2 linked regions of the Saccharomyces cerevisiae S288C genome follow. Changing the gene in region 1 together with any one later gene gives a genetic interaction. Each region holds a gene or a part of one and is shown on either strand. Other genes may lie near its edges. The genes, in order: AVT4 and AVT7.

What was found.
Region 2: of AVT4 (region 1) and AVT7, changing one enhances a phenotype caused by changing the other (phenotypic enhancement), as found in Saccharomyces cerevisiae (one study listed by BioGRID).

The regions. Positions count from the first base shown.
Region 1 is NC_001146.8:432,895-437,640, forward strand, and holds AVT4 (Avt4p), read left to right. Parts: upstream 1-2,104; coding exon 2,105-4,246; downstream 4,247-4,746. Other genes in the region: DNA-directed DNA polymerase alpha catalytic subunit POL1, read left to right, coding at 1-1,599; MIC27 (Mic27p), read left to right, coding at 4,719-4,746. UniProt on the Saccharomyces cerevisiae protein: Involved in amino acid efflux from the vacuole to the cytoplasm. Capable of transporting large neutral amino acids including tyrosine, glutamine, asparagine, isoleucine and leucine.
Region 2 is NC_001141.2:197,194-201,185, forward strand, and holds AVT7 (Avt7p), read right to left. Parts: upstream 2,211-3,992; coding exon 738-2,210; downstream 1-737. Other genes in the region: AIM19 (Aim19p), read right to left, coding at 2,453-2,926; YIL086C (uncharacterized protein), read right to left, coding at 2,960-3,268; KTR7 (putative mannosyltransferase), read right to left, coding at 3,297-3,992. UniProt on the Saccharomyces cerevisiae protein: Probable amino acid transporter of unknown specificity.

The sequences.
Region 1 (4,746 bases):
GATATTCGTCAACAAGCTCTAAAATTGACTGCCAATTCTATGTATGGTTGTTTGGGTTATGTTAACAGTAGATTTTACGCAAAGCCGCTCGCCATGTTAGTCACTAATAAGGGTCGTGAGATTTTAATGAATACAAGACAACTAGCTGAAAGTATGAATCTTCTTGTAGTTTATGGTGATACAGATTCGGTCATGATAGATACCGGTTGTGATAATTATGCGGATGCAATTAAAATTGGCTTGGGATTTAAAAGGCTAGTAAATGAGCGCTATAGATTATTGGAGATTGATATTGATAATGTTTTTAAGAAGTTACTATTACATGCCAAGAAAAAGTACGCTGCTTTGACTGTAAATTTGGACAAAAATGGTAATGGAACTACTGTTCTAGAAGTTAAAGGGTTGGACATGAAGCGTCGTGAATTTTGTCCACTTTCGAGGGACGTTTCTATACATGTTTTAAACACCATCCTGTCAGATAAGGACCCAGAAGAAGCATTGCAAGAAGTGTATGATTACTTAGAAGACATCAGAATAAAAGTGGAAACCAATAACATTAGAATTGATAAATATAAGATCAATATGAAGCTTTCAAAAGATCCCAAGGCCTACCCAGGTGGTAAAAACATGCCTGCAGTCCAAGTAGCTCTAAGAATGCGTAAGGCTGGTAGAGTTGTTAAAGCTGGCTCTGTCATCACTTTTGTGATCACAAAGCAGGATGAAATAGACAATGCAGCGGATACGCCGGCTCTTTCTGTGGCTGAACGTGCCCATGCATTGAATGAGGTAATGATTAAAAGTAACAATTTGATACCTGATCCACAATATTATCTCGAGAAACAAATATTCGCGCCGGTAGAAAGGTTGTTAGAAAGAATTGATAGCTTCAACGTGGTGCGTTTGAGTGAAGCGCTTGGTTTAGATAGTAAAAAGTATTTTAGAAGAGAGGGCGGTAATAACAATGGAGAAGATATTAATAATTTGCAACCCTTAGAAACAACAATTACAGACGTTGAAAGGTTTAAGGATACTGTAACATTAGAATTAAGTTGCCCATCATGCGATAAAAGGTTTCCATTTGGTGGTATTGTATCTTCAAATTACTATCGCGTGTCATATAATGGTTTACAGTGCAAGCATTGTGAGCAACTTTTTACTCCTCTTCAATTAACTAGCCAAATAGAGCATTCTATAAGGGCACACATTTCCTTATATTACGCAGGGTGGTTACAGTGTGATGACAGCACATGCGGTATAGTTACAAGACAAGTCTCCGTTTTTGGTAAGCGTTGTTTGAATGACGGCTGCACGGGTGTCATGAGATACAAATACAGTGACAAGCAATTGTACAATCAACTTTTATATTTCGATTCTTTATTCGATTGTGAAAAAAATAAAAAGCAAGAATTGAAGCCAATATATCTACCCGATGATCTCGACTACCCCAAGGAACAGCTGACAGAATCATCTATTAAGGCTTTAACAGAACAAAACAGAGAACTAATGGAAACCGGCCGGAGCGTTGTTCAAAAATATTTGAACGATTGTGGACGTCGCTACGTTGATATGACTAGCATATTTGATTTCATGCTAAATTAGGTAAGTATTTTGTATGTGTTGTGTGATCTCATGAATATTCTATATAGTAAGAAAAGAATACAACTGTACATACGCATCCTACTAGATACCTAATGTACAGACATCGGAAGGAGCGCTAGGAAGCTTTTATTATTGAAGGTTTTCAGCGATATTCTGAGAATGTTTTTTCGGCTCTGGTGATCAGTTCTCACATGCATCATCCTTTAATAAACCCATGCATTAAGATTCGCCTTATCAGCAAGATCAGATAAGCGAACAGCTTCATCAATGAAATAGAATGCTTAAATCTTGTGAAGCACTGTCATAAGCCAGTTTGATAAAAGCAATACCCACAATATAGTTGGATATCATTTACCTTGATCTGCTCTTGCTTTCGAGGTGACATAGCATTTTTAGCCATCTGATTCCTTAGGTTCAAAGGCACTCATCATTCCTCCTCTAAAACACATTTCAACGTCATTCATAATCTGGAATCAACATAACAATATCCTAGAACACATCATCAATGGTCACTAACAATGGAGATGGTGAGCACCTTGGGATCCGAAGAAACGGAAATTTAAGGCATCCTTCCAATAATATGAAAATTCCCAGAAGGGCTCAATCAACAGTTCTCAATTCAAACCCATTTTATAGTAGGAAGTATTCTATGTCTACCTTAACGCCGAGGGATATATGTCGAAGCGTTGATTCTAGAGTATTTGTGGATATGTCTTCTCCCAATTTTCAGACTCTGGAGGATCCCCACAGAGATGAGATTATAAACAGTGTACGGCTTAACTACTTGAACAGTAGCAAAAGAAGTTCCGTCTCTCATGGAAATGAAGCAATCCCTAGGGTTAATCCGACTAAGAATTCTTCAGCAAGTACCATAGCTGCAGCAAATGTTGATAGTGATGACGATGAGACTAACCTGAGTAGCGCTGGAGGCGACATAACGCATGATATTTACAAGTTGGTTAAAGCAGAGGATCCTAAACGGCTCAGACGCCCTCGGTCCATGGAAAATGTAACACCTAAAATTGAGCACCATACTAAATTGTCATCAGCAAGTGGTTTAAATGTCCCCGGTGGCTTCAGAAGGGAATTTATTGTCAACAAAAAAAGGCAAGAACATCAATTAAATGATTCCGCTAGCTCAGACTTCACTTCGCATGAAAGCGATTCGATTAACCAGTCATCTCCATCTTCTAACCAAGATATCGATAAGGTCCCCTTTTTAACAAGAAACTTTTTGGAATTTCTATACGTGTTTGGACATTTTGCTGGTGAATCCTTCGAGGATGATTTTATCCCTGATAGCTCAAACATGATGATACGCGGAGAAGATGAAAGGAGTGCATTGCTGTCTCGGCCTGACCATATGAAAGTATTACCTTCAGCCAAAGGTACGACTTCGACAAAGAAGGTTTTTTTGATATTGCTTAAATCTTTCATTGGAACTGGCGTTTTATTTTTACCTAATGCCTTTCATAATGGTGGTTTGTTTTTCTCAGTAAGTATGCTGGCCTTTTTTGGAATTTATTCATACTGGTGTTACTACATATTGGTGCAGGCCAAATCTTCATGCGGTGTATCCTCCTTTGGTGATATTGGTTTAAAACTGTATGGACCTTGGATGAGAATAATAATTCTTTTCTCCCTAGTAATAACTCAAGTTGGATTCTCTGGAGCTTATATGATATTTACTGCAAAAAATTTACAAGCTTTTCTTGATAACGTATTCCATGTGGGCGTCCTACCTTTATCTTACCTGATGGTCTTTCAAACGATCATTTTTATTCCACTTTCGTTTATTAGAAACATTTCGAAATTGTCACTACCATCTTTACTAGCAAATTTTTTCATCATGGCTGGTTTAGTCATTGTCATTATTTTTACAGCCAAAAGGTTGTTTTTTGACCTGATGGGGACCCCAGCAATGGGTGTCGTCTATGGCTTAAATGCAGACCGTTGGACGCTGTTTATCGGGACGGCAATATTTGCTTTCGAAGGAATCGGGTTAATTATTCCTGTTCAAGACTCAATGAGAAATCCTGAAAAATTTCCTTTAGTACTTGCTTTGGTGATTCTAACGGCAACCATACTTTTCATTTCCATAGCTACATTGGGATATTTGGCATACGGCTCAAATGTTCAAACGGTTATACTGTTGAACTTACCTCAAAGTAACATTTTTGTAAACTTAATCCAGCTGTTCTATTCCATCGCAATTATGTTGTCCACACCTTTGCAGTTGTTTCCAGCTATTAAAATTATTGAAAATAAGTTTTTTCCAAAGTTCACTAAAATATATGTCAAGCACGATGATCTAACAACAAGAGTCGAATTACGTCCTAATTCAGGAAAGCTGAACTGGAAAATTAAATGGCTGAAGAACTTTATTCGTTCTATAATCGTAATCATTGTTGTATCAATTGCTTACTTTGGGTCTGATAATTTAGACAAGTTCGTTTCAGTTATAGGATCCCTCGCCTGTATTCCTTTGGTATATATATACCCATCGATGCTGCATTTACGGGGCAATAGCCTTCCAGAGACTAAAGGGGAATTTTGGAGATTCAAACCAATGTTAGATACCATTTTAATTTTCTTCGGTATTGCAAGCATGCTTTATACGTCTTACCAGAGTATATTCGGTGTCTAGACGATATATGTTGTTGCTTCATAAAGAATTTATTTGGAATCGAGGAACACTATTTTGCCATTGTCGCCATTGACAGCTTGCAGTTGCAAACGTCTTCTTAATTCACTTTATATAAACAAGGACCGCCAGGTCACAGTATTATTCGCACGAAATTATGTAGTAGGTAAAAAACACTAAAAGCATTACCCCTATATTGTTATTTAATGTTCCATCTACGATTAGTAGGTGGTGAGCATGTCTGAATATACACAATTTCATATTTATTATCAAGTTCAAGATTGCCAGAATTTTATTTTTTTTTCCAATCTGCGAATAAGCTTGATCCGATTACTCCGCTTAATGCCCCGACAACCTGAGAACTTTTAAACATATCAAGGAGTAGAGTGGGATTAATGACAATGTGATAGTTTCATAATTAAAGTAAGCAGTCAAAGACAGAAGCAGCACACCATTTACCAATACAGCTTCCAAAATGGTAAATTTTTATGATGACGTGGATG
Region 2 (3,992 bases), on another chromosome or scaffold:
ATAATATTATGTATACAGTATATATACTAGAAGTTTTCCTCGAGGATTTAGGAATCCTCAAAATGGAATCTGTATTTCTACATACTAATATTAAGATTATTCCTCATTCCGTTTTATTCCTTATTCCGTTTTATATGTTTCATTATCCTATTACATTATCAATCCTTGCATTTCAGCTTCCTCCAACTTCAATGACAGCTTCTCATAACTTGCGTCACCATTTAACACCGTATATGATAATATATTGATAGTGTAACTACTAGTTGATAGATGATGGTTGATTTTTACTCCAACAGGTTTTTATTCCTACAATTTTCCGGACATATATATATAAATAAAGATCATTCATATTTACTGATATGGTAACATGTTTTTCTATTCAAATCAAGCTAATCAAATCCGATGTAGTGTAACGGCTATCACATCACGTTCTCACCGTGGAGACCGGGGTTCGACTCCCCGCTTCGGAGTTATTTTTTATTCTTTTTTTTTTAGGGACTATTTAGGCAGTATTTTTACCACTAAAGCGCATGAAGTCACATTCTCTGAGCCTGCTCCATTTTTTCAGGGATCTTTATTGTTTAGCAGGGTAATACCTTTTTGTAAGTGCCATAGAATAAAGTATTAAACTAGTCGATGATCGCGTTAAGCATAAAACTTTGAGTCTGCTGTCTCTGATTCTATTTACTATTTACTATATACTGTTTTATACTTCTCTTGCATGACTATTGGTCCATTTAGGCTTCATCTGAACGGTTGAATACAGTTACATACAATGACAAAAACATCACAGATAGTCCGTAGAAGACTAGCAATAAGCTGCACCTTTTGTAAAATCTATCTTTTGGTGGAATCATCTTCCCAATAGCCAAAGAATCCAAGCCTATTAATTTGTAACCTAATAATCCAGGTAAAGTGAATGAAATAGACGTTGAACCTGTAGCCCCTACAAATGAAAGAACCAGTGCAAATGACTGGACAGACAACGCCAAGGTATACATGCTTATTAGTAATAATGCAGTAATCCAGTAAAATCTAGACTTAACAAATGGCGCATGATGCTCGTTATCCCCGGCGACCGCCATAGTCCCTCTTTCATCATTATTGTTCTCTTGACTTTCAATTGAACCATTATCAAAGTTCCCGTTAGGTAGTAAACATTCTTGCTCGTTATAAGAAGTTGCGTCTAGTGCATCACTGGGCTGGGCTGGATCTTCCACAGTCATGCTAATTGGTCTTAGGTTGGAAGCACGAGTGTATTCCGAAACTTGTGGGTCCTCTTCGGGATTTGCCCCACCATAAGTGATCTCAATCCAGATGATGACATTGTTAACTGCTATGCGCAGCGGATGAAAGAGAAGCGGGAAGGAAAGAATTAACATTGAGCCAAGACAGAATTTGCCAATTACTATCCAAATTGAGTTAGGATCGTAGTTCAACATTAAATTACCCAAGGTTTCATTACCGAAGGTTAAATATCCTGATAAACCAACGATCAAAAATAGTGCTGTTGATAAGGATATCGAATTATTGATAACGAAAGTGATATTTTCCATGCTGTTGTCTTTTAATTCATTTATCATGGGGAATAGGTTCATTGATCCCGTAAAAGCAAAAATTATAATGCTAAAAGTTGATAATAATCCTTTAAAGTCGTGAATTTTCCACCAGCATATGTCATTTCTTAATATATTTGTTAATTCACCCTTTCCCAGCTCAAACACAAAATGACTGAACACCAGAATTGATATGTATGCTAGCGCGAAAAGACCTAGAATACTAGAATACTTCAATTGATCTAGTTTCTTCACTAAACATAGGGGAATGATGATTACAGCTGATGCAATTATCCAATAATTTCTTTCACCACCAAACAGTCCTGGAAAGAGATCACCAATAAGAACTAAGTAACTTAAGCCCACACCAAAGCATTGAACTATCATTGCCAAATCAAAAATTGGGGCCAAAGTGGGATAGGTGAGCATGCATAATGTGAAGAAAGAAGAGTTTCTTGGATTAATTAAGGTCTTGGAACATTTCGATAGCACAAAGAGACCCAGACCGGATGTTACCGCCGCCAATAATGTAAGAATAACCCCTACCAGAACACCATCGCTTTTAAAACTGTACGGAATGGCAAGTGTACCAGCGCCAACTATTGTCTTAACGAGATTCGCCGTAGACGAAAGAGCACTTGATGTAGCCTCCATACCTTAGAATTCCTTTTCTCTTTGATGCTATGTCCTGATTGTAGAATTCGCCTTTCCGTTGACGCTTGTTCTTGGCGTCTTATCTATTTGAGGGTCAAATCTGACTTCGGATGAAGAAGTTATGAACGTATGATAAGAGGTGAAAGATGTGGAAGCAAATCCATTCATGTTAAGTCACGTGGTTCATACAGATAATACAGAGGATACAAAATTAAATATTAAGACATTAATAGATGTAAGCATCACTGGAATCCGGTAGCAAGGAACCGTTGGCCATAAAGGACTGCGTTGGCCAATGAAACCGAGGATAGCACCAACGGCCAAGTTCTTCCATATCTTAACGCACTAAAGGACTTCTTGCCCCCTACAATCAAATATAAGGCGGACCATGTAGCAATGAAGCCAGCCCCATTTTCCAAGTCGTTGTCATAGATCATGTATGCACCTATAGCTTGCATTGTAGAAAAGAAAAGGGCGGTTTTAGTAGTTATACCGATTCTGGCAGTAGAAGATTTAGAGAATACCCTAGACATTGGTATCGAGAGGGCAGGAGATTGCGTTGGAGGCACTTTAAAGCTTGGGGATAGCACCGGAGTGGATGCTAATAGTGCTGCGTTTGCGAGCGCAGGATAAGGTGTCCTTGTCAATGCATATAGCCGGCGAAATGGTGATAGAAGTTCATCTTTGGCATCGTCAGTAGCGGGTTTAGCAGACATTTCTTGTGTGTTAAGTATATTGGAAATCGTAGTTTATAGAATCTTTTCGTCAGATTTGCCTTTTCCCTTCGCATGTCTCCCTAAAGGCCGTTTCTTGAAATATCTTGGACAAAAGAAGGTAATGCTTTTATAAGTTAGAAGTGACCCCTTGGCCGAAGAATTGATGTAATTGAATTCTGAAATATTGAAAATAGTAGCTACATTGCCATCAAAACCTCCATGAGTTAAATATGAATTGTTATTAATGTAAACAAACTTAGATGTGGTCCGAAGACTGTTGAGTACACCGCCAGTTCGTAGATATCTGGAGAAGTTGGTAGACTCTTTTATAATTTTGTTCATACGTATAAATGTATAGAAAACACTGTATCTATTCAATTACTCTAAAATTTTCTCTTCTGATCTCTTCAATCACGTCTTTGTCCTTTATGGAGGGCTTGTAACAACCAGGGAATTCCTTCTCATATTCCCTGCCGTGAAGCAATTCAAAAAAAATATCCATGCAAGGGGTGGAGTGGTCTTCGATGTCTTCACCTTTCTTGGGGCACACGCATCGACATCCACATCCGAAGTTATAACCTTCATCGAAAGTGTTGAGATTTTCTTGGCTTTGTAAGGCATTCTTCGGACAATGCTGCAGCGATGAGTGTCTATAACCAATGTCTCTGAAATAATGAACGTCTTCTAGATCCAAGGTCATTCCCAACCCAATTGAATGAATTGGCGCGTCACCCCACCTTTCAGTCCAGAAACCTCCAGACTCTTCCAAAAATTTAAAATAGGCGTTATAGATCTCATTGTCGAATAAATCAACGCGGGCAATTTCAAAGTTACTCCAAAAATGACACAAATTGTAATCTTCCCCTTCAAGGGAATCCTCTAGCATTGGCACCTTAGAGCGGGCCCTTTCAACGAGATATTGTATACCTTCCAAATCTTCCTCATTATTGACTTGACCATGATTCTCTAGCAAAAAGTCTACCATCAACTTTTCTGTCAACTTTGGCTTTGCATCCCAGGGAAAATTGACCCACCTAGAAATTTCTTCATCATCTGTATCTAGAAT